3 linked regions of the Schizosaccharomyces pombe genome follow. The protein of the gene in region 3 interacts with the protein of the main gene of each other region in a pairwise test. Each region holds a gene or a part of one and is shown on either strand. Other genes may lie near its edges.

Region 1 (8,040 bases), on a different chromosome or scaffold from region 3:
TTAGTCATATTTATGAAAAGGATTAGTTAGGAAGTGATAGAATATTTGACATAAAAATCAGGATTTCAGTACATCAGTAATTTAAATTCCGTTCTTTGACTCTATGAAATCACTAGACGCTTGGCTAATTTATCATAAAGAAAAAATTATTTAATGATTTTACTTTTCTTCAATCAACCTCTTTTCATCCATATTTTATTTTCGCATCAATGAATAAAAATTTATGATGGGTAAGTAAATAGAATTATCTGATTTGTTATTTTGTGGGCATCACTTCTGTATTCATGTATTATTAATGAAACTTACTTAGTTTTCATTTATGTCTCTCTGTGTACTATTAATTTAATTCAAAAAATTCAGAAATGACCTGTCAAAATAGCCTCTTATGAATGCGGTTAATGTATGAGTTATTGACTGATAAAAAAACTAGATGCAGGCACCCTTGCTAAATTAATCAATGATGATGATGATTATTTTATTTTATAGCTTGACATTCGTTCTTTTTTTTAACCTTTTATTAATAATGGGTTAAATTATAACATCATATCGACTGGGGATGTAGTTTAGGGGTATAACGTTTCATTCGCATAGTTCGCACCTTGAAAAGGTCCCGGGTTCGATTCCCGGCATCTCCAATGTTAGAAACTATTTTTCCTTTTTATCCACATTTGTTTTATTTATTGACTACACGGCAAACAGGTTACATACACAAATGTATACTAGAAAAAATATAAAAGTGAATTTACTAATATAAGTAAGATGAGAACATTCTCTCAATGAATACACAAAAAATTTAAATCTATGACTTTGAGGAAGTAGTTAAAATAAATTTGTTCATGTAGCTAGCATAAATCATCGGCGTTAGAAAAAGCGGTGTAAGAATCATGTAAGTTCGAAATGTAAGTTTCTTCAGGAGAAGAATTTAGCATTTTGTGCAAATGAATTAAAGTATCTAAAGCGTTAACATATTAACAATAATTATTATATTCAAAAATTTACCAGAAAACGTAGAAAGTCCATCGATAAACAAGGTTTTTTTTATTCTTTCGAAATGCGATTTACAAGCATCTGCTGTCCATAGGTGATTAGCATATTCTGATAAGCATTTCCAATCAATCATCCGTTCCTCTGCAACATTAAGGTCCATCATTCTGAATTTAATTAGCTTCTTATTTAAAATTTTATAATTGGAGTACCTTTCAATTAACCATATACTATCGCCAAGTTTGAAAGGGGAACTATTATGTATATCTCTGGAAATTAGTGTGTAATACTTCCACCTACAATGATGACGGTGTCGATTTCTCATGTTTTTAGAAATTAGACTCCATTGAATAGGGGATGAAGGATTGCTTTGCAAGTATTGATTAACCGTTTTGATTAATTTTTCTTTCTCCTGGATAGTCCATGGTGAACGATTGATTTCACCAGGTTGAATGTAGTCGCGCCAATGATCTCTGCAATGCATTGGTAGTCTATTCGACAATTTGCCAATTAAGCTCCAGGATGTTCCATGTTTTTCAACAAGTCTATTAGTTAGTTGCAATTTGGAAAGTAAACTACATACTTTTTCAATTCTGCCTCATCTTCTATAGTCCATTTACATTTTTTCTTAAATGGATTATATTTTCTGCGGAGATAATTGTAAATACTCTTTTTATCCCTATCGATAAGCTCATCTATTATTAATTAGTAACAAGTGATAGTAATTGACTTACACAAACAATTATATAATGTTTTCATTTCATCACGATGGTTATCAGACCAAACATATTGAAGAAATTGTTCATCAGACCAATTTTTTTTCTGTTTTTTAATATTTATAATAAAACAGCAAGCTAAAGACCATACCTTTTTAAACATAGCAATTTCTTTTTCCAAAGTGATAATGTCGTTTGCTCCCCATGATCCAGACGACGCTTTTTTAACGTATTGAAACCTTTCATAACCTGGAATGTTAAAATATCCCTTAAGATGCCTATACACAGTCCTTCGTGAAACATTGGGCACTTGAATTTCTAGACTTGAATTAGCGGATTTTTTTGAAAGCACTCAGGTGTCATACGAAATTGAATGAGTAAATTATTGAAAGGTTTTGGAAGTCTTTTGGTTTTAATAAGAAGATCTCTCGCAGCCACAAAGTTTAATTCGCTTTCTTTCAAAAATTCATCAATTAGTTGACTTAACAGAACCCAAAAAGTGGGTGTCCAGTTGGTGTAATCTCTACTGAATACAAAGTCTTTATATGAAGTAGTGCCTGTTTTTTTGAAGCCTCGACATGTTTCATGGTCTTTCGCACTTCCAGCAATTGCTGTTTTCACATTTTCAGGTGATACCATAGTCTCATCATAATTGTATTCATGAAAGCTTATGGGGTTTCCCAAGTAAATGAAAGAACTTGTATTTTTCGAGTCACCAATGGGTGATAAGAGTTGATCATCGACAAAGAGCTCTTCATTGTCCTCTGTATCCGGTCTGCAACTTAAATTGTTTTTTCCTTGCATAATAATGTTCACTTGTCTGAAGAAATATTAAGAAAAAAACATTGACAAAAGGTAATCAGTATAGCAAGGGACCCGGGGTGTAATAGTTCATGTAAGACAAAACCAAATAGCGCAGGCAACTTCAATTATTCAATCTATAATTGAACTTTTGATACTTTGCAATTCTGAATTCTAATTAACTAGTGAGCCTGTTAAAATTGGGTAACATTATAGAGCGTTGGTGTAGCTAAATAGTGTACGATACATGCAGTGATGGTTTTTGAGAGCATTTTTAAAAAAATTTCAAAATTTCTTAAGATGTGACTCTCTTGTTTATGATATATACATGTAAAATTTTTAAAATAGAAAATTAAGTATGAGTGGTTTAGAAGAGTTTTTTTAGTTGAAAACGTTTACAGGTATCTGCCTCATATCAAACTTAAAAAAAAAAAAGAATAAATTAAAACGATAAAATATCTCTATTGGCTTTTGTTTACTAATAATCACTATTTTTTATCAATTAGGTACAAAGTTCCTGCCTATGTTAAAATTATTAGGGTAATAACGTGTGTCACCGATATAATTACTACGATACATAGTATTTAATAACGAAACTGTAAAGCTCGTTAACTTTCCAGTGATTACCTTAACTTTCCATCTACGTTAGTTGAACCAGCGAATGTAGCTGCCATTTACCTACTCCAGGGAACACTGTTAAAAACGTCTTTTTGTGAAAAGGAAGGAAAAATAGAGGGATCTTCAAAAAAGTTATTAAATAATTCAGTGTTTCTTTTCTTTTTTTTGCTAGCAATATACCACTGTAAGTAAAAAAAAATACACTAAAGCAATGAGTCAGGAGGACGCTTTCTACGGAAAGGGTAGTTATGGAGCTAGTAGTGGAAATTCGAATATACCTCCTCAAGGATTTCAGCCAGTTTATCCAGTTGCTGGCCAGCTAGATAATACCGCTCCTTATGTCGGGGCAGTTGCTGAGGGTACAGCTGAAGGCATTGTAAGCAATGGTGAATACGCTGTTGGAGCTATGGGTGCTGCTCCTACCAACATAATAGGATCTGTCGATCAACAACCACCCGTTTCTCATACCTCTCATAAGTCTCGTAGACAGTATCCTGCTGAGGTGTTTGAACTTACAAATACCTTAGCAGCGTCACCGGCTCCCCCTTCTCTTTCAGAGCCCTCTTACGTTATGGCACGAACTCCATCCTCTTCACCATATCCTCATGATCGCGCAGAGGTGGGAACTAAATCTCTCTCTGCACAATTTGGCGGAATGTCACTTGGAGCAGATGGTGCAGCAGCTATGCCTACCAATGAGTTAGTTTCTGTTGATTTGTACAATCAAACACCAGAAATTTCTGACTTAACCTCTCCTCCTCCTCCTATTAATTTACCCTTAAGCTATTCCGCTACTGGAGCAGCTACTTCCAATTGCCCTCCCAAATATGTTCGATCCACGATAAACTGTGTACCGACAACAAATAGCTTGTTAAAAAAGTCAAAAATTCCATTTGCATTAGTCATCCGTCCATATACTAGCTTGGTCGAAGAAGATGATCCAGTTCCAGTTGTTACTGATACTATTATATCACGATGCCGCAGGTGTCGTATGTATATCAATCCTTTTAGTATCTTTATTGACAATGGCCATCGCTATCGCTGTAATTCTTGTGGTATTGTTAATGAAGTACCCCAGTCATATGACTGGGACAGTTTCAGAAATGTCCAACGTGATCGCTGGCAACGTCCTGAGCTCAATTATGCAGTTGTTGATTTTATTGCTCCTCAAGAATATATGGTTCGTGCTCCACAACCTTTGGTTTACGTATTTTTAATTGATATTTCGTTTGTATCCATATCTTCTGGTATGGTTGGTACTGCAAGTCGTGCAATTCTGGAATCATTGGATCGCATCCCCAATAAAGAAGGACGTGCAAAGGTGGCTTTTATTGGTGTAGACAGTGCCCTGCATTTTTTTTCAGTTTCCCCTGGTGCTGAAGAAGCCACCCAACTAGTTGTTTCTGATTTAGAGGAACCGTTTTTACCCAGGAATCAAGATTTGTTACTTAATTTACGCGAATGTAGACAAGGCATTGAAAACTTACTCGAGCGATTTCAATCAATGTTTGCAACTACCCGTGATTCTAGTAATGCCCTTGGACCAGGTCTTAAGGCTGCCCATCGTCTCATTGAAAATATTGGCGGTAAAATTTGCTGTCTCATTTCGAGTCTTCCTAATGTTGGTGTTGGTAAATTGGAGTTACGTGAAGATCCTAAACTTTTGGGAACAAATCGTGAATCTAGCCTTCTTCATCCCAATGACTCCTTCTATAAATCCTTCGCGGTGGAATGCTCCACGTCTCAAGTCTCTGTTGATATGTTTCTTTTTTCTTCTCAGTATCAAGATGTAGCAACCTTAAGTTGCCTTCCTAGATACACCTCTGGTAAAACCCAATTCTATCACAGGTGGAATGCTTCCCGTAGCGAGGACGCTCTTAAATTTGCTTCTGAACTTACTAACTATCTCAGTATGGAGATTGAGCTAGAGGCGGTGATGCGTGTTCGTGGATCTAACGGTCTCCGTATGTCTTCTTTCTACGGAAACTTTTTTAATCGTTCAAGTGATCTATGTGCGTTTCCTTCTTTTCCTCGCGATCAGAGTTATGTAGTAGAGGTTGTTATTGAGGACACTATCACCAAGCCCTTTGTTTCTTTCCAAACAGCTATGCTCCATACTACTTGTAACGGTGAAAGACGGATTCGTGTACTGACTATTTCTCTTCCTACTACCAATAGTATGACTGATTTATATGCATCAGCCGATCAAGTTGCCATTGCACAATATCTTACTGTCCGGGCTAGTGAAAAGGCTCTTTCTTCTACGTTGAACGAAGCCCGTGATAGCATTATAAGTAAGCTTGTAGAAATTTTGGAAGTTTACAAAAAAAATTTGGCTGGACAAAACACCGGTGCTGCGATCCCGCTTCAAATAAGCACCAATTTAAGACTATTACCATTGCTTTGTTTAGCATTGACGAAGCATACTGGATTCAGAAGATCTAGTCATATCTCATCTGACCTTCGTTCTATTGCTCTATGTTATTTAAGTACTCTGCCAACTCCTTTACTAATGCGTTACATTTATCCAACTCTTTATTCTTTGCACGATATGCCTATTGAAGCAGGAACTGTTACAGAACAGGGTGTAGTTCTCCCTTCTGCGTTAAATCTTACTTCAGCTTTGTTGCAATCTTTTGGTTTATATTTGGTTGATACACACATTCATCAATTTTTGTATATTGGTAAAGATGCAGTTCCGCAGCTACTGATAGACGCATTTGGTGTAAACTCTCTTGCGGATTTGAAAGCTGGACGTTTTACAATGCCAGTTATAGACAACCCACTTAACGTTCGTATCAATGCGATTCTCGGTAAACTTCGTTCGTTGGATAAAGGTTCAACTATTATGCCTAGTCTTTACCTTGTACGTGGTGATGGTGATCCACAATTGCGCTCATGGTTTTTCTCTCACTTCGTCGAGGATCGTAGTGAGAACTCTCCCAGCTATTTACAGTTTTTGCAGACTCTTAAAGAGAAAGTTCGTGACTAAAGGCTGTAAAATCTGGCTACTTTCTACAAAACTTTTTTAAATTGATTGTTCTGATGGTAATATATGCCTGAATTAGTGACATGATTAATTAATAATATTCAATATGGTTAAACATTCTTTGGTTTTTTGTATTTTTAAGAAAAAAAAAATTTAAATAATTGATCTAGTAAATATACTTGGTGCTTTTTATATTGATGAAAGCTATATATGTATCAAACTAAATTAGGTATTTGCGTACATGTAGCTTCCAGCCAGCTTGTACATAAATTTTAGCTTTTATACCTTGTCTATTTTCATATTACTTGATGTTGAAGTTGTTCCAAGAATAACAAAAGGTTCTAATAATTTAATTTAATTCATTACAATTGAGTTGCAGTGTATAGATTTTCAATTTCGCACTTTAGAGCTTCACATCTTCTATTTAAAGCATAAAAAAAATATTAAATATTTATTAAATTTCATTTTCATTGCAATTAGATTATATATCCAGGCGAGTATTCACTTATATTGAAAAACTAATTTAAGAATGTAATTTTGCACTGCGGTACTAGGTGCTTGGCAAGTGGTAGAATTTTGCCTTCTGCCAAGCACTCCTAATTGTAGTAATTAGATTAGAGAGTCGAAATCCTATTATTTTAAAAAGATGGGAATCAAAGAGAGGAATGCACCTTCTCAATATAAACAATCATCTCGTAAAAACAAACGAGCATGGAGGAAAAATATTGATTTGGAGGATATCGAGTCTGGTCTAGAGCAGACTAGAGATGAGGAAATAAAAGGGTATATTAGTTTTTGCATTGTATTAATTAAAAATATTTTTATTAACTTAAAACAGTGGAAATGTCGAGCACAAGCCGAATGATGCTTTATTTGTAATTGACACTCTTGGTGATGATAGAATTGCAAAAAGAAGCAGAAAAAAAATTAAACCATTAAAGGTTGATCAAATTCTTGAAAATAAGTCTTCCATAGAAAAAGTTCATTCTCATTTAACGAATAATTCAACTGAAAGCAATAAGAAAGGAAAAATTTTTTCTAGAAAAGAACTAAATAGACTACAAGCTTTGGTGTATAAAAATAAAGATGGTTTAACCGCAACTTCTGCTGCTAGTGAGCTCAAAAATACCAAACAACCAAAGGAAAGTTATGATGTTTGGGAAACAAACCCAACAGTTACTATACCTGTTAAAAGACCTTCTACATTATCTAAACTACCCGAATCTTTAACTGAGAATAATGCAAAAGTCCCAAATGTTGTTATCGCTGATCCAGGAATGTCATACAATCCTGACGCTGCAGCTTGGATGAAGCTACTTGATACCAAAGGTTCAGAGGAACTTAAGAAAGAACAGAAAAGAATTAGTGAATTAGAGGAAAAGGAAAGAATACAGAAGAAAGCTTTTGAAGACAAGGGATTAGTTTCAGACCAAGACGTTAATCACAGCATTGATTCTGATGACCAGTCTGAACACGAACAAGCAGAAACTCCGATCCCTTCTTCGAAGAACAAACGAAAAACCAGGTCTCAAAGAAATAAGATACGCCAAAGAAGAGAGGAGGAGCTTAGATTACTTGAGCAAAAGAAAAATGAAGAGCTTCTGAGGACGATCGACAAAGCTCCTGCAATATCCAAAAAACTGCAGCAAAAGGATAAAGCTGAGAAATTCTCTAATAAGGCTGTTTCTTCTAGCACAACTGAAATCAAACTGAAGAAGAAAAAATTCGGTAAACATCGATTGCCTAACAACCCACTTGAAATAAAGTTGGGAGATGAGCTGACTAGTTCCCTTAGAGAGCTGAAGCCTGAAGGAAATTTGTTTGCCGATCGCTATTTAAGTTTACAACAAAGAGCAATGGTTCCTCCATCTTTGCCAGTATTGAAGAAATCAAAGTATCGTGCAAAGATCAAGGAAAAATATAGTCACAAAG
Region 2 (8,360 bases), 2.0 Mb from region 3:
AAGACTATTAAACAAACATAAATAAGATTTTGTAAACCATATTACTAATTTGAGCAAAAATGTATTGAGAATTAGCTTTTAATGAATCATAAACCATTAAATATAAATTAACTAATGTTGAAAACAGACAATCTAAAATTGCAAATGTTACGAACCAAACGATCAGATGTATATGCCTAAGATTGGTAATCTAATTATAATATATTGAAAGTGGGAGACTTAAATAAAAAAAAGAGAAAAGAAAAGAAAAGTAGCATAACTTAATAAAGGATATTTTTGAAAAGGGATGGAAAATACTCAACTTTACTTGCGTTTTGTTGGACCAGTCATAGGAGAAGCACGACCAGCAGTCAAATCATCATCGGAATATTTCAACGACGATACATAAGGTCGTTTGTATCGAATGTCATATGTACATTCTTTTCTGATATTTGTACGAAGAATCCATCGCTCGGAAGGTGCTAATGTCTTCCACTGCTGAGCTCCAATATCTCCAATCTCCGATTTTACAATACCAGTTGACATGGACACGTATAATATAGTGCCATAAAGAGAAGGGATATCGGCGACATCAATTTCGTGTATTTTTTCACAGTCATATCCTTCTGCAGCCTCAGCACGCACCGTCCAGTACTCGTCACGATATCTTCCAATCGCCGTAACAATCCACAAGCGGCCAGGGCTACTATTAAAAGACGTATCTGGAGGATATTCGGGTTCACATATAATTGTTGAATTAGAATCGTGTGAATTCCTACGTGAAGAATTAGCGCTAACACTTTCCATTATTTCAGCAATTGGTATGTTAAAAAAAGCATTGCGAATATGGTGAAGCTCTGCGACAGGTACCGTAACAACAGTTGCTATCACATTCTTCACAAACTTGTATAAGGGTAATTTCAAAGATGGGGCTTTCAAATTGTGGGCAGTGAGCATTCCACGTACAAGAGCAATCTCAACTTTGAACTTCAAATACTTGGGAGGTTCGGCGACAGCAATAATTTCAAAATCTGCATTTTTATTCTTTTTTTTTCGTTCTGTCAACCAGGCAGAAAATGCTTCTATATGGGAGGGTCGATCTTCATATATCCTCGTGGAGTTAATATATAGGAAATGACGGTAAACTTCATTAAAAAACCAAAGCTTAAAGTTGAGTGTTTGGGGCCAAAAACCGTCAGGAGCTTGAAGTTTAAACACAACCCCTTGGAAATCTAAACCCTTGCTTGCAATGATTTTTTCCACGATTCCTCGAAACCCTTCGTTGCGGCCAGTAAGTAATACCGCTAAAACATCAGGTCGACGTATCGATTCTCTGGCTTGTGAAACACTATACACATTAATAACTATAGACACATGATATATGTTCTGATTCCATCTTTTCAATGCCAAAGTCGACAGTACGAAACCCGAATTCCAATACTTACATTTTTTCATTCCACCAGCCTTCCCAGGCTCTCTTCTCCTCGACCTCGACACCGTCACCGGTAGCAGCTAAAACGTGTGGATCAAAAAACCATCCGCCATTAGCCAAAACTTAAAAAAAAAAGGTTAGTAAATGATCATTGTAAGCAAGTCTCATCAATGAAGTCAGTAAGGAAGAAAGCAAACAGTGAAAGAGTTTACTGAAGTATAAAAGTGAGGACATAAATAATTGCATCTCAGACGCATGGTACATGAAAAAATCCACACTATGGTGAACAGACAACCACTATGCCAAAGGTAAACACGTCGTTTTTTTCCATCTGGACTTGTTAAGACTAACCATTAACATACTATTAAATGCCATCAAAATCCGAATCGCTTGATTGCTCCATATGTTTGCATTTGGCAATGGAGTTTGGAACAAGGTCTGCAAAAGGCTGTTAGTTTTTACGCTCATTCTATCTTTCCAGGGATTGAGCCTTACATTATCGAAATCATAAATGTGAACCTCTTTGATTTTATGAACGTCTATATATCCCCATTTTGAAAAGTCATAGGTTCCAAGCCCAATGTCAACGTTCAAACTCATTAAACTAAAGGCCGATCCAGTTTAAACGTCGAAAATTAAGTTCTTAAATAATAAGATAAAAGTTTCGCCAAAAATTGCTTTTTTTTTTATCTCAAAATTAACTAAGCCAGCATTTGAAAGGTGAAACTACAAAATCCCGTACTAGCCCATATACTGCACATTTTACCGAACCCGACGCTATTGCTAACCGTCCCGATATACTAATGCCAACATACAAAACGAAGTACTGTCGAATCAATCAATAAAAGTCTTAATAATGCAAACATTTAGTGTTAATTTTATTTCATCCCATAGTAATCGTATATTATTAAACATAAGTTTCTTCAAGCCGAGAACTTTGGTAACTGAAAGCGAAAACAAAGGTAAACAATGGACTTCGCATTGTAAAAGAAAGAATAGAGAAAATAGGGATAACCATAAACAAATGAAGAAGTACATACGAAAAAATTATGTGAAGAGCGTTTTTTTTTTTTTTGAAAAGTTGATACGCTCTAAAAGGAACTAACCATAAACTCAACTTTATAAATGCTCTATACTATTGACAAAGAAATGAATGCTCAACAAGTTATTGCATGCAATATTCCATTCTGAAATATAGTGCTGTCCAAGTAAACTTTAGTTAATATAGGAACGACAGCGAAGATATGCTTTATTCTAACAGAATATGCTTAATTTTGAATGAAAGGGGCTCAAAAATGATTCCTTTTTCTCGGCATTAAATTCGGTGCAACACTATACCAACCAAACCCAAAACATATCCACAAAGAGATTCTTTACTTTTGTATCGAACTGCAAGAAGATTTGAGCTGTTTTTATTTGTAGCCTTGAGTATGCAGAGATTCGTGAATTTTCGTTAAAAAGTCTAGGTATCCAAATCCTTCGCGAGTGTTATCCTCTACTAATGTTGAGAATATTTCACCTTCACTACCATCTAAACCCTGGCGTACGATTTGTGGGTGAAGAGCCATGCTGGGAAATTGCATTCTAAGAGAAGAAAGGAGATTGCGAACTTGTACAGAAAGAACTGTGTCCAATGTCGGAAGCTCAAGCGCTTTCAGAGAATCAATATCCTCAAGACTCTCAACACCTAATAGATCTTGAAGTAAAAGAGGAGAGGTTCTTTGATGAAACCATAAGTAAGACTTTTGGCCAGTGACGATTAAAAAAGCACCACCATCCTCAATGAATTTTCGAGATGCTCGAACGCAAAGTGGCATATTGATAGGTAGACAACCCGTATTTTCAGGGTCAGGAAGACAATCAGTGGGCTGTAATTGATGTAGTGCATAAATGTTTGGATAAAGATTTAGCATCAACTCTTGAATAGGAGCTGCTCTCACCTCTCTGAGCTGTGAAACACGAATATCACTATGAATGCTTCCACTTCGGATAGCAGATGATTTCAAAACTGCAAGAATCAAAATAGGTAATAACACCAAGTTCTTTGGAAGAACCAGTTGGCCTGGAGTCAAACGATTAGCAGCAACCTTCCGATAACTAGATAAGATTTTCACGACACCCTCCACTAACCTAACCGATGTATCTTTTAAAGAACCCGCTGCAATATTTGTCGATGCAATTTTAGCTAAAACTGCAACGATAGGTTCAACAATGGCAAGAGAAATCGTATCGTAGCTTTTAGAAGTGACAGCACAGCAATAGTTAACAACCCTTACTCTTCTCTCACCAGAAGGAGTGGTATATAAAACCGCAGTTTGAAAGTGAGCGTCCAAAGCTCCATTTAATTTTCCATCATAGGAAAACAGAACTGTTACACTTTTATCAGCATCAAGACTGCCAAATTCGATATCTTGTGGAGTTCGTTGCAAGAAGTTGCCTAAATATTTGGAGACACGCAGACCATTTGAGCATCGTGTCTTCAACATCACTCGATAGCCTTGCTCTCTGGTAACACTTCTAAATAAATCTTGTTTAAGTCGAGATCCATCACGATCAGCAACAAAATTACTATAGTGGTAAATCTGCCCACCACTTAAGGTCGCAACACTTCCAACAGTAGCAACATCAACATAAGCAGTAGCAGTAAAGAAAATATCAACACCTATACCAGCAGTAACATATTCATCGGCAAGAGATGTATACCACTTGTCTTGGGTGTTCCAAAGATTCTTTTCATCAGAAGTCCCATATAATCTTTGATCTTCACGATGCCTTAATTTCCCCAATCCCATCGTAGGAAGAGCACTAACAAAAACAAAAGCTTTTCCACCTGTTTCCTTAAGAAGGAGTTTTACTACTTCCAGTGCATTGCCAACGACTGGTTCGGGAATTTTAACATCTTGAAAAATTGCAGGGAAACTGTCCAGCAATCTCTCAATGACAACTTTTGAAGCAATGGGATCAACAAAAAGACCGGAAGAAAATGGAACAAAGGGATTCTCTAAATCAGAAGCAGCTAACATATGGGGTTGCTCTAAATTAGGAGATAAATTGAAGAAATTAACGCTTCGATCAAAGCAGACAATAGCAATTTTGACATTAGGATCAAGAGGTACCGGTCCGTAGAGAATATTCCGAATAGCTTCAGCTGCAACCTTGGGAAGTCCTTTGGAGGAAGCTTCATAGGAAACATCAATCATAAAAACAAAGCGAGCCGGCTTTGGCGGATCCTCCTTTATCCAATAGTCCTTCCCCACTTTAAAATCAATAGTGCCAACATTTAATTCTGGACGAGACTCCACTCCATCATGCTGACTACCGACTAAAGGATTAAAACCATCATCATTAAAACTATTTTCTGAACCGCAAAGATTGCAAGTCCATTTACTACTTGCCATCGTGAATTGGATAAAAGGATTGATGTAGCCACGACATTTTTTGCAACGTGGGGGATTTGAATTTGTGTTATCTACAACGGGTACGGGTGCTTCATCAGGACGTAACTCTGCGAACGGTTGAACAATCATTCCCAAGGGGATTCCGGAAGCATTGCAAACATCATTGGTAGCTGGAATCGCGTAACTGGTAAACTGAACGAATTTGGAAGATGAATTTCCTTGTTCATACCCAACAAAATCTGTAGTGGACATAGGTGGAGAACCCTTTTCCATGGTATTGAATATTTGGTTTTTAAACAATTGCTGATCTTCATAGCGAACTTCAGGAGCCGAAGGTAATGCTGCAGGATCGAGGAGATTTGTATCATTAGAAAAAGATTCTGGAAGTACTGAGGGTGTACTTGGCGTAGGATAATTCATGGAAGGCGGGATAGCAGGCGACATGACAGGAGCCAAAGCTGGTTCAGCATCTGTCAATGACATATCATATGCATGGGCATCTTTATGTCTTCTAGCGCGTCGGGGTTGTGGAGCCATTGCACTACCTTGCTGTATATACATTTGTGCGTTCATTTGAGCAGCTAACTGAGTGTCAATTTCAGGGCCCCCATATGAAGCAATATTGCCAGCAACATTTTGCCTATAAGTCTCAGGATTACCGTAATTTCCAAACTGCCCGGGATAGGCCATTTTGTTTTTGTGTCAAGTTTACTTGGTGGATGTACGAATATAAGTAGGTAAGGGTAGGGCAAAATATATACCAAATAAAAAGACTGATTTGAAAGAGTAACACGATATAAATAATTTTAGATAATAAAGTGTGAAATTTGAGATTCTTCAGGAACATCAGATATGAACTGGATGCATTTCCGATTGTCAAAAGTTGACTTCCCTTTAAATTTGGAAATGGACAATTTAGCTCTATATGTAAAAAACCTCAGCTGTTTCAAAAAATGTCATTTCACATGGGCAGTGGCTCTTTAATGAAACAGCTAATAATATTGATACAGCGGAGAAAGTATCTATACACCTAGTATCTATAGCGAATAGTCAATAATGATATTCAAAACAAGTGTTATTAACCTAAATAATTTAGATTGACATTTTGAAAACTAAGAAAGAATGAATGTAAAGATAGGTATAAAAATGTAAAGCAAATTTTGATTGCAAATTATTAAAGGATAGATATATGCAACAGATGCAGTAACAAAAGGAGGGTCAAAGAACGGGGAAATCAAAATCACTGGACTCCATAAACTGATTGTGTCAAAAAATTAAATAAGATATTTAGCAAATGTTCTTGACAAACTTCGTTTAACACTCATTTTTTGGGCATTCACAAAGGAATCAATAATCACTTGAATGGCTTTGTCTATATGTGAAGGGCGCACAAACTCACTGAGCTGCATTTTTGCAAATGCTTCACTTAAACGGATAGCAGACTCCAGATGACGCACAGTAATAGGATAACTTCCAGTAGCCAGTGACTCGCGTCTCATATCGCTATAAAGTCTCGAAATCTTTTCTTCATCCATTTGCTGTAATCGAGGAAAAACTTTTTCACGAGCGAAATGGATATATTTACGAAGAAGATCTTGGGGAATGGGTTTGGCATCAATACCAGTCTCAGTAGGGACTTTCTTCAAGACATCCATATTCGGATCAAATGCAGGATGAGATCGAATATGACTTGATACAACAAAATTAGCTAGCTGTTCATCAATTTCAGGATTAACCGTGTCTTTGACGACCTGAAGGATGTCAAAACGAGATAAAATAGGTTCGGTCAGCTCAACATTTTGATTAAAAGGAATTGTAGTGTTATAACGTCCACCGATGGGATTAGCGGCAGCAATAATAGTGCACCTCGCCTGCAAGGTAGTCACAATACCCGCCTTAGAAATAGAAATACTTTGTTGTTCCATGGCTTCGTGAATAGAAGTACGATCCTGATCATTCATTTTATCGAACTCGTCAATCAAACAAACACCTTTATCTGCTAAAACCAAAGCACCCCCTTCCAAAGTCCATTCATTCGTAATGGGGTCTTTACGGACGGATGCAGTTAGACCAACAGCACTGGCACCCTGACCTGTGGCGAAGACAGCCCTATGTGCCGTTTTTTCAACATACTTAAGAAATTGAGATTTGGCGGTTCCTGGATCTCCCAACAATAAAACATTGATATCACCTCTAATTTTATGCTTACCGTTAATATTTTTGGGGACACCACCGAATAAAGCAGCAGCAATAGCAGTTTTGATAGAGCGATGTCCATAAATAGAAGGCGCCATCGATGCAATAATTCTGTTGTGAATATCAGGCGACTTTGCTAATGCCCGAATTTCCCTTTCCTCATCATCAGTAAGCCGACTTAAAGAGAAATCATCATCAGTATTACCACTGCCGTCAAGTTGCGATATGTGATTTGCTTCTATAATTGTAGCGAAGACAGGAAACCCGTTTTTGGTATTCAGACTAGCATCGAAGTTATTGCGGTATATGCCAGTAACATCAATCTCTTCGCCTGGTTTGGCAACATCAACCAAGTCCGCTAAAAGAATAACTTCACGGTGTCGAGGCAGTCTACCTGAGGGGACGGTGCCAGGTGATTCTTGTAAAGTGATCCTTTGATAGTTATTATATACAGTCCGTTCAGAGTTGATTACAAACGGACCACGGCTGGAACAGTTGTGACAGAAAGAAATTTTTACTTCAACGCTAGAGTCTTGAAAAAATGGACCCAAAGTAGCACCACATTTGGTACATGTAAACCGAATGTATTTTAATTGTGGAAAAAGCCCAGTGCGCCTAGTTACGACACCAGATACCCGTACAAGGCAATTAAGATGGGATTGTCGTAGATCGCGTAAAGTAAAACAAGTAGGAAGATTAGTGATACGAACATGAATATCAGAGTGTATTCTTTCATAGTCTGGATAATGCAAAAGAGTGGCTTCCAAAGCAACACGATCAAATATGCGAAAAATAGGTGCAGGCGCATTGGCCAAGAAATAAGCCAAAATGGGTTTAGATTCACCAAGATGGGCATAATTAACCATCAACGACTCAGCATTAACCTCACCCAATGTGCGAATACGGTTACCGTATACAGAGGTGCCATTTTCATCTGTATATTCAAGAAGGAAATTTTTGAATTCTCGAGCAATTGTACGCCGAACAGGATCAAGAGTAACCCATTCGGCAATACTATCGGCCTTTACGTCGGCAATTGATTCAAGAGGAAGTTCACCAGATTCGTCCAATGCGCCAACATTAGGTGAATATTCGTCGTAAATTCGATGTCGATGACGAGTGAAGCCTGTGCCAAGATTGGAGTCCAAATCATCATCTTCATCTTGTAAAAATGCAGCAGGTTTTGTTCTACCTGCAGCAGCATCGAGCTCAATATCACGTCGTCTCAACCTGGCATCAACAGCTCTTCGGGCCCCGATATCTAATTCTTCAAGATCGTTATCGTCATCTAGTTCTTCAATGTCATAACGATCTAGCTCCAAATTTTGTTGATAATCACTATACAGTTAGAAAAA
Region 3 (7,656 bases):
AATAAATAATCGCCGACTCTCCGGAAATATCCAAATGTAAACAAGAAGCTGACATTAGTTTCTTCACACTGCTGAAATAAACTTACCAGAATATTCCCCCAATAACAAAAATCAGCTATGAAGTATTCGTATCCTTTTCGTTGATACGTATAATACCTTATTTAAGTTAAAAATGATGGCATACGAGAATACGAGCCACGCTCATATCCATTAGAAATTATAAGCTACTTACCTCAAAGGTAAATAAACGAAAAGCTGTATAGTATACCATAGGTGCATTGATTCAGGAGCCATACCAACCAGCAAGGCAGTTAAAATGCAAGTGCTAACACCTAACGCGAAGGATAATTTATCGCGAAAACGAACAACTTTTCCGGAATTCCATTGTTCTTGAAACTTGTCGATCGATTTCCCTAGTCTTTCTTTTAACTTGTCGGTTTCATAGTTAATTTGTTTATGAATAGGCTGCAATTTATTTTTTTGACGTGATACTCCATGTTTCAACTACAGACATTAATAAAATACAAAAGGTGGTAATGTTATGTATGGACATACCTGTCCTTTCTTTTGATTATAATGCTTGTGTAGCCAAGAATAGACCCGATAAATGTTTGGTGCGTCAAATAAATCTGTAAAACCAACAGAATCATCTAATCCATGAAGTCCATAGTCATTGTCTTCCTCAAAGATCGAATATTCTGAATCAGTATTTTCATCAAATTCTAAATGATCCATTTTCCTTTATCAAAAAAGTAATTGGCGAAGCAACAAATCAACGCAACCGTATATCCAAAAATAAAGTAAGGAACCAAAAAATGGAAGCGTGATCTAGTTTGTAATCAACCGATTGAAGAAATACCAATGTTAATATTCCTATTAAATATTGTTCAATTTACTATGCTTTAATATTCTAGCTTTTGCAATAGGAAAAGAATTGTGTTGAGAAAGTTGCTGATTATCGGAATATGGTATACAATACGTGTTACAAGTAGTTATGACTATGATGCATATTTTCAATTGAACGGAACACGTTTATTCCAATAACCACCGAACAATAAAAGTATGTTATATTTAAAAAAACCTCTCTTTTATAAAACAAACATAGGCTCTTGCCCATTAACTAATTTTACACGTTTGTTGCTTAACTTAATACTACCATTACCATAATTTACTCCCAAATTAATCATAAATTCCCTGCGAATACGTACCAAGAATGCGAATTTTCAATACCTAAATTGGGGTAGGTTACTTTGCACGAAACATTAAATGCATTACATTCCGAGAACAAATTGAGTAGTTTATGCCTTTCTAAAAAAACTACATTATAAATACAGAAAATAAAAAAAGCGGTCTCCTTTTTTAAAAGATTTTACACCATTATCTGTATGAATAATATCAAAATATGGTGTTAACAAATGCTTGAACATTTTCTTCTAAAGATGGAATATATACTAATAGTTGATGTATTTAGGTTGCATCGACATTACAAAGCCATAGTTGATAGCTCCGCTATTACAAAGATGCAAATGTGTAATGATAGTTGTATAGACTCATCTTCAATATAGACAATTTAAGATATGACAGCCATTTTACGAAGATGGTCCATAAACTTTTGCAGGTTTACGTCGTCCGTTAAAACCGTTTCAGAATCCTTTGACATTGGTGAAAATTGAGAGGACTTGTTAAAAGAAACAGAAGGATTAATTCTTGATAGTAGGAATCTCGCTTGACTACCTCCCTGATCGCAAACAATAAATCGTGGAATAGGGAAGCGATCAGCCAGTAATTCAGTAACTTCAAGACGCGGAGCTAAAAGAAGCTCCTTCAAATTAACATACTCTGGTTGCTCTTGGTAACCAGCATTTCTCCATTGAGCAATAGTTGAACCATGGAAAATCAGTATATGAAAATAGGTGTCAAGTAGCAAAATCACATCTGGTTTAATGGAAACAGAATCCAGTAATACAGGTACCCCTTCAGGCTCGTTAAAGCTATAGGATTGAAGAGTGGGTTGTATCATAATTAAAGAATCATTGACATCCGCAACGTTCAACATATGACGATAGAAAGAAGTTTCATCGGGAGAATTATTAAAGATATGCAAAAATGGACTTCTCCTCAAGTGAAAAATAAACTGTGGATAAAGTGTAAAGTTTGGAAGTAAACGGAAACTGGAAGGGTCTTCTTTTCTATAGTCTGCAAAGTGTTGACAAAGCCTAATCAGGTTTCTATCAATCCATCTAGTTACGCTCATTTCATCCTCGGTTTGACATTTGAACAAAGCCATGCGAGCGACTATAGCAGCAGCAGCTTCCTGATCAAACGACTCCGAAATACTTTTTGCATTGCCGGTAATAAATGAGCGAGATATGGTAGTAACACGAAGTCGATAAGTTCCCGAAGAATGTTGGTAATATGTCAAAAACTGAATGAAAGCTTGAGTAGGCCTTTGCGAATTTGGATTCCCCATCTCTTTACCCAAATCGAAATATAGAGCGTATGAAGATTTAGGTGAAATCGCTGCCATTTTCCAAGAATTCGTTTTGCTTATGCCAATTTGAGTATCACTAATATTAGTACCTTTTTTATTTTCACCAACTCCATTTCCAATCATTCCACAGATAGTGAGGCCTTTAGACGTTAAGACTTCCAAATTCGCCATAAACCCCATTTTTAGATAACCGGAAGCATCAACACTAAATAATCTTTGAAAGCTCTGCTTAAAAATGGAAGTTGTAAATGAGTCGGATAGCACAATGGCACCACCAGTATTGTTAACAAGGTTTTCCATTTCCATTATACCTACTTGATCAAGGCAACCAGCAAATAAATCTAGAGCATGCCCTTGGTTGGAGAGGCGTTCAGCTAAAGAAGAATAGAACTTTTTAGATTTTTTGAAATGCTTAGCTTTGTCATTTGCAATTTCAGAGTGTGATCGCATTGGTTCCTTGAGTTCTGTTGAAACAACTTGACCCAGGCCAACCGTACAAGGACCACCACAAAATAACTCAATTCTCGAGCCACATTTAGGGAAAGCAATTCCGAGTAAATCGGAAGCTATCTTCACCGCAGCACCAGTACATCGAAGTTGCCTTTGCCCAGCTGGTACTTCGAGACAATCCGGCTGAAGTTGTTCAAGAATGTTAAGCAAGTGCATTTCACATTTCTGGACAGGCATAAGAAAGCGAGAGGCTGCACCAAGATTGAGGGTAATGCCTGTACCAGAAATTTTTGCTTTAGAAGAAGAAGAGCGAATTTGATTACCACTTAACGCTAATAGTTGTTGAAGCTTCATAGTGCTGTAATCAGCAGCGGGTTGAAAGACATACGATTTCGGCATAGCTTCAAATCCTATTTCATGAACCTGGATTAAAGACCCGTAGGTAATTAAACCAACAATGGCATCTGGAGGGAGCAAACTAAGACTAACTATGACTGCATCTTTGAGAGCAGTGAGTTCCGACTCATCAACTGCGGTGTCCATAACAAATAAAAACACAGGAGGAGATTTTACAGGCTTTGAAAGAACATACTCCATGGTAGTACTTTGACTGAGCAATTCCAACGGAAGACTGTTGCTGGAAATATCGCTATATTGAGCAGGAAGAGGATTTCGCTGAAAACAAAACGGACCTAGGTTCCAAATATTAGTGATTTGAATATATTTAAGGGTTAAAAATGCTGTAATAACTTGAACTAAATACTCGAAATTTATACCACTCATCACTTAAAATACGAAGCTGGTAACAGACATCAAGTATACGCTTCAAAATTTAGCTTGAACCAAGACTTACATATCCAGAATCTAGCACGCAGATCGACATGACTTATAAAATAATTTAGTATATTGTAAACCTAGGTGAATACACACGTACCAATAAGGATTTAGTACAGCGCGACACGGGGCTCTGCATGCAACTGGATCATACTGTTCTATTGTCATCCTTTCATTTTCATGTAAAGGAGTGTACATAGCAGCAATTGGAATGACTGCTCTAGCATTTTCAGCAGGTGTTGCTGAAAACGTATTCCATGAAAGTCGTATCCCTAAACCATAAGGTTAGCAAAGTTCTCCTCTTATAAAAAAAAGAAATACCATCTTGATCTTCTATGTCCTCAAAATTCATTTTCCCCTTAAGTTAACAGGACATTCAAACTTCGTCCAAAGAAGTAAAAAAACGTATGCTGGTATTAATTAGTGGACATGCAAATGGGTTAAGAGGGTACACATGCACCCATTAACGGGCTTAACGAATTTTAGCGTGAGAATAAGTAAACAAATTAACTAGAATACTAATTGCATTTACGAATGAATGAATAAGTATTCGAAGTAGTAGAGAGATATATTTTCTACCAGCTGAACCACTAACTTCTCAAAATTTAATATAAATCCAATATGCACTAGCAAAATAATGTACTTTTATCTCAAGGCGCTATTGAAGGCTATTGAGTAAACAAATTTTCTTGTCGATATAAACGATCGTTTGTTTGTACTCCAAATATATTGGTCTCTCAGAAAAGCCTTCGGACATAACACTTCAATCGAGTGTCACGGAAGTATTAACTACATGCACTAATGCAAAGAATCATCGTAGTTGAGAAAAAAAATTGAAAAATACTATAAGTTTACTACAACATACATATTTGAAAATTTTCTTCTAGTAGTATCATTAAAGCAATTAAATCCTTTACATAGCTCTAATACTTGTACATTCTTCTTATTTGGTTTATCAAAAATATTTCAAAGAATAATAACGGAAACCATTCCAGATATCTAGAAATGAGTAAAAAAAGAGATGATAAAACTTTATTTAAAGAAACCTAAACCAAAACTTTAAATATAAATTTAAGCGGAAGGAGCATCTGACGCGCGAACCTGAGACATAATTTTGATCATATCTCCAAGAACACCGGCAGCGGTCACAGCAGCTCCAGCACCGGCACCAATAACTACCAAAGGACGAGTATGGTAGCGTTTAGTGGTAAAGGATATAATGTTGTCAGACGATTGAAGGTTAGCGAACGGATGAGAAGCGTCGTACTTTTCAAGTTTGACAAGAGTGGTCTTGTTAGCAACGTCAGCCTCACCAACAAAACGGACAACCTTGCCTTCCTTCTCAGCTTCTTCGCGCATGCTAGCAAATTCTGAATCAAAGTTAGGTAATCCAGCTAAAAACTCTTCAGCATTTACAGCACTCTTCAAAGGTTCAGGAATGAGCGATTTAACAGGGAATGAGCTAGCTGACTCGACATGAACACCAGCAATACGAGACAAGATGGTGACTTTACGAGCGACATCCATGCCATTCAAGTCATCACGAGGGTCAGGCTCGGTATAGCCATTTTGTTTGGCAATTTTGACGATATCAGAGAATGAGGCAGTTCCTTTCTTGCCGTTAGGAGACCAAACGTTGAAGATGTAAGACAGAGTGCCAGAAAAGATACCTTCAATCTTTATGATTTCATCACCAGTAGCGATAAGTTCTTTTAATGTGGAGATAATTGGCAAACCAGCACCAACAGAAGCCTCGTGCATCAATAAAGCACCGCTCTCCTTGCTAGCCTTGATAATGTTTTGATAGACATCATTACTAGCAGAGAATGCTTTCTTGTTGGGAGTAGCAATGTTGATTTTCTTGCTCAAAAATTTAGGATAAGATTGAGCGATTGCTTCAGAGGCAGTGTTATCGACCAAAATGGCGGGAAGGGGGGACTTGGCAAGGAAATCTACCAAAGCATCTAATGAATAAGCACCTTGGTTCTGAGAAGTAAGGTTCTTCCATTCAGACAAATTAATGGGCTGATAATCCTTGGAGACGTAGTGACCTTCCATACTAGAAATGGCAACAACGTTAAAAGAGGTAGTGCCATTGGTAGAAGCGTTTTCATTAAAACCCTTAATTTGGTTTAAGAGTTCACCGCCGATGTTTCCTGTACCTATTTATTTTTAAGTGATTAGCTTTCGCTTTACAAAACATTCAAGCATTCAATTTATTGTGTGCTTACCAACAATAGCAACGTTAACGTTAGTTCTGCTAGCTGACATTTTCAAATAGTGGGTGGGAGAGGTAGAGATGCTACGACGTTGGGTCGGATTACGAAAAGCAGTGACAAGGGTTTTCTCAAAGGAAACTTTGGAAGAGGTGATATACGAATTGATAATTTTGTTGTAGGGAAATAAAATTTTAGAAAGTGTAGATAATTTAGGGAGATTTAAATTTTTTCCATGTCTAAATATTGTCATACCAAACATTTTTTAGAAGAGTTTATTTTATACCCAAAAATGAGTTTTCAACCAAGGAAGGATCTTTCTCTCTGATTGATATCAAAGTTTTGCAGGTATATTTGTTGTGAACAAAATGTGAGCGACATTATATTAATCGAGTCAGAACATATTTGTAATAATACTCAAAAGCGCAAAATCTATTACTGTAGCAATAATGATGTTGATTTCGTTTGATACAAATTTTATTTAATTTGATTTTGTTTTATTGAAGCTCCGCTAAATAAACTTAGCTAGAAATCTAGTATAGAAGCCGATTTATATAAATTAATCACAAATTATAAATATAACGCATTAAATTTCATATATGGGATTCAATGGCATACAATCATATATTTACTTTTACAATTAATAAAAACCACTTAATCAACTTATGTGATTTATTAGTGTTTATCGACTCGTGAAAAAAAATATTTAATTTTTTGCTTCGTAAATTAAATTATATGCTGCTAAGTGTCTAAATAAATCACATTCCATCCATCAAATTTGCTTTTTTATTATTAAAAAAAAAAAAAAAAAAAAAAAAAAAAGAGATTTTTGAAGAGAAAAGTCTAGGGTTCAAGAAAATGAAAAACTGTAATGAAACCAATCTGACTATATAATTTGTTAATTATATATGCATATTATTATGATTAGCAAACTCAAATCATAAGCAGGTGCAGCTTTTTCAATTTAAAAGTTCAGATAACATACATTAAATTATTTATTTATTTTCTAAATCAAGCTTAGAAGAAAATAAAATATTATGATAAAATACTGCGAAATTAAAATGTTCTGAATATACCATTTTAAATTCTAATGAAGTTTTCTTGCAAAACAATAAACCGATATTATCTTGAAGTAGGTTGCTATCTCTTAAAATATTTAAATTATTCTTCACCTTTTATTAATAAAGAAAATTGAATCAATTTGCTAGACAATTTGTAGAGCAGCAAGATTTAGAGGGTTGTTTAAAATCAACAATTAATATAAGAAAAGAATTCCAAAGTAATTTAATTATAGGTTTATATACGTTTTTTTAATGTAGTAGTGATTATAGAAACTAGGAATATAGGAAAGTAGGCACATATTATGCATCAAGCTCGTTGTACACCCACCACCCAACCATTCAACTACCTACTACATACAACTCACTCCAGTTTCCTACTGTTAGCCATAACCTTTATTTCTGAGTTAGCAGCAAATATTGCTTTTAAACGGTTTGCCGACTGAATACCGTTCTCCGTCCGTCTTACTTTTCCTCGGAACACTTTACTTGGAAGAAAAATCGTCGAAATTCGGTCGAGTAAAAAATTAATCACAGACCCAAAAATTTGACTTCATAAGTGTCAAAAGCGGTTATATTGGATACCTGTAAAATGTCGAACCCAGAT

What was found.
Region 1: the proteins of sec2302 (region 3) and sec24 interact in a two-hybrid assay, tested with the Schizosaccharomyces pombe proteins (one large-scale study listed by BioGRID).
Region 2: the proteins of sec2302 (region 3) and sfb3 interact in a two-hybrid assay, tested with the Schizosaccharomyces pombe proteins (one large-scale study listed by BioGRID).

The regions. Positions count from the first base shown.
Region 1 is NC_003424.3:4,796,425-4,804,464, forward strand, and holds sec24 (coincidence detector Sec24/Sfb2 subunit), read left to right. Parts: upstream 1-3,170; 5' UTR 3,171-3,330; coding exon 3,331-6,111; 3' UTR 6,112-6,228; downstream 6,229-8,040. Other genes in the region: RNA polymerase I termination factor Rtf1, read right to left, coding at 843-952, 1,000-1,151, 1,197-1,529, 1,568-1,679, 1,719-1,806, 1,852-2,018, 2,066-2,504; rRNA processing protein Rrp16, read left to right, coding at 6,755-6,891, 6,947-8,040. UniProt on the Schizosaccharomyces pombe protein: Component of the coat protein complex II (COPII) which promotes the formation of transport vesicles from the endoplasmic reticulum (ER).
Region 2 is NC_003423.3:1,185,314-1,193,673, forward strand, and holds sfb3 (COPII-coated vesicle-associated protein Sfb3), read right to left. Parts: upstream 5,509-8,360; 5' UTR 5,500-5,508; coding exon 2,824-5,499; 3' UTR 2,333-2,823; downstream 1-2,332. Other genes in the region: claudin-like protein Dni2, read left to right, coding at 1-11; SPOM_SPBC4.02C (rRNA methyltransferase), read right to left, coding at 304-1,327, 1,425-1,533, 1,774-1,849, 1,907-2,011; MCM complex subunit Mcm2, read right to left, coding at 6,084-8,343.
Region 3 is NC_003423.3:3,175,084-3,182,739, reverse strand, and holds sec2302 (COPII cargo receptor subunit Sec23b), read right to left. Parts: upstream 4,188-7,656; 5' UTR 4,128-4,187; coding exon 4,097-4,127; exon of another isoform or gene 4,048-4,096; coding exon 3,876-4,047; exon of another isoform or gene 3,827-3,875; coding exon 3,795-3,826; exon of another isoform or gene 3,634-3,794; coding exon 1,571-3,633; 3' UTR 1,402-1,570; downstream 1-1,401. Other genes in the region: gpc1 (transporter), read right to left, coding at 1-48, 87-156, 233-504, 556-735; hom6 (homoserine dehydrogenase), read right to left, coding at 4,847-5,937, 6,007-6,046; serine/threonine protein phosphatase PP1 catalytic subunit Dis2, read left to right, coding at 7,642-7,656.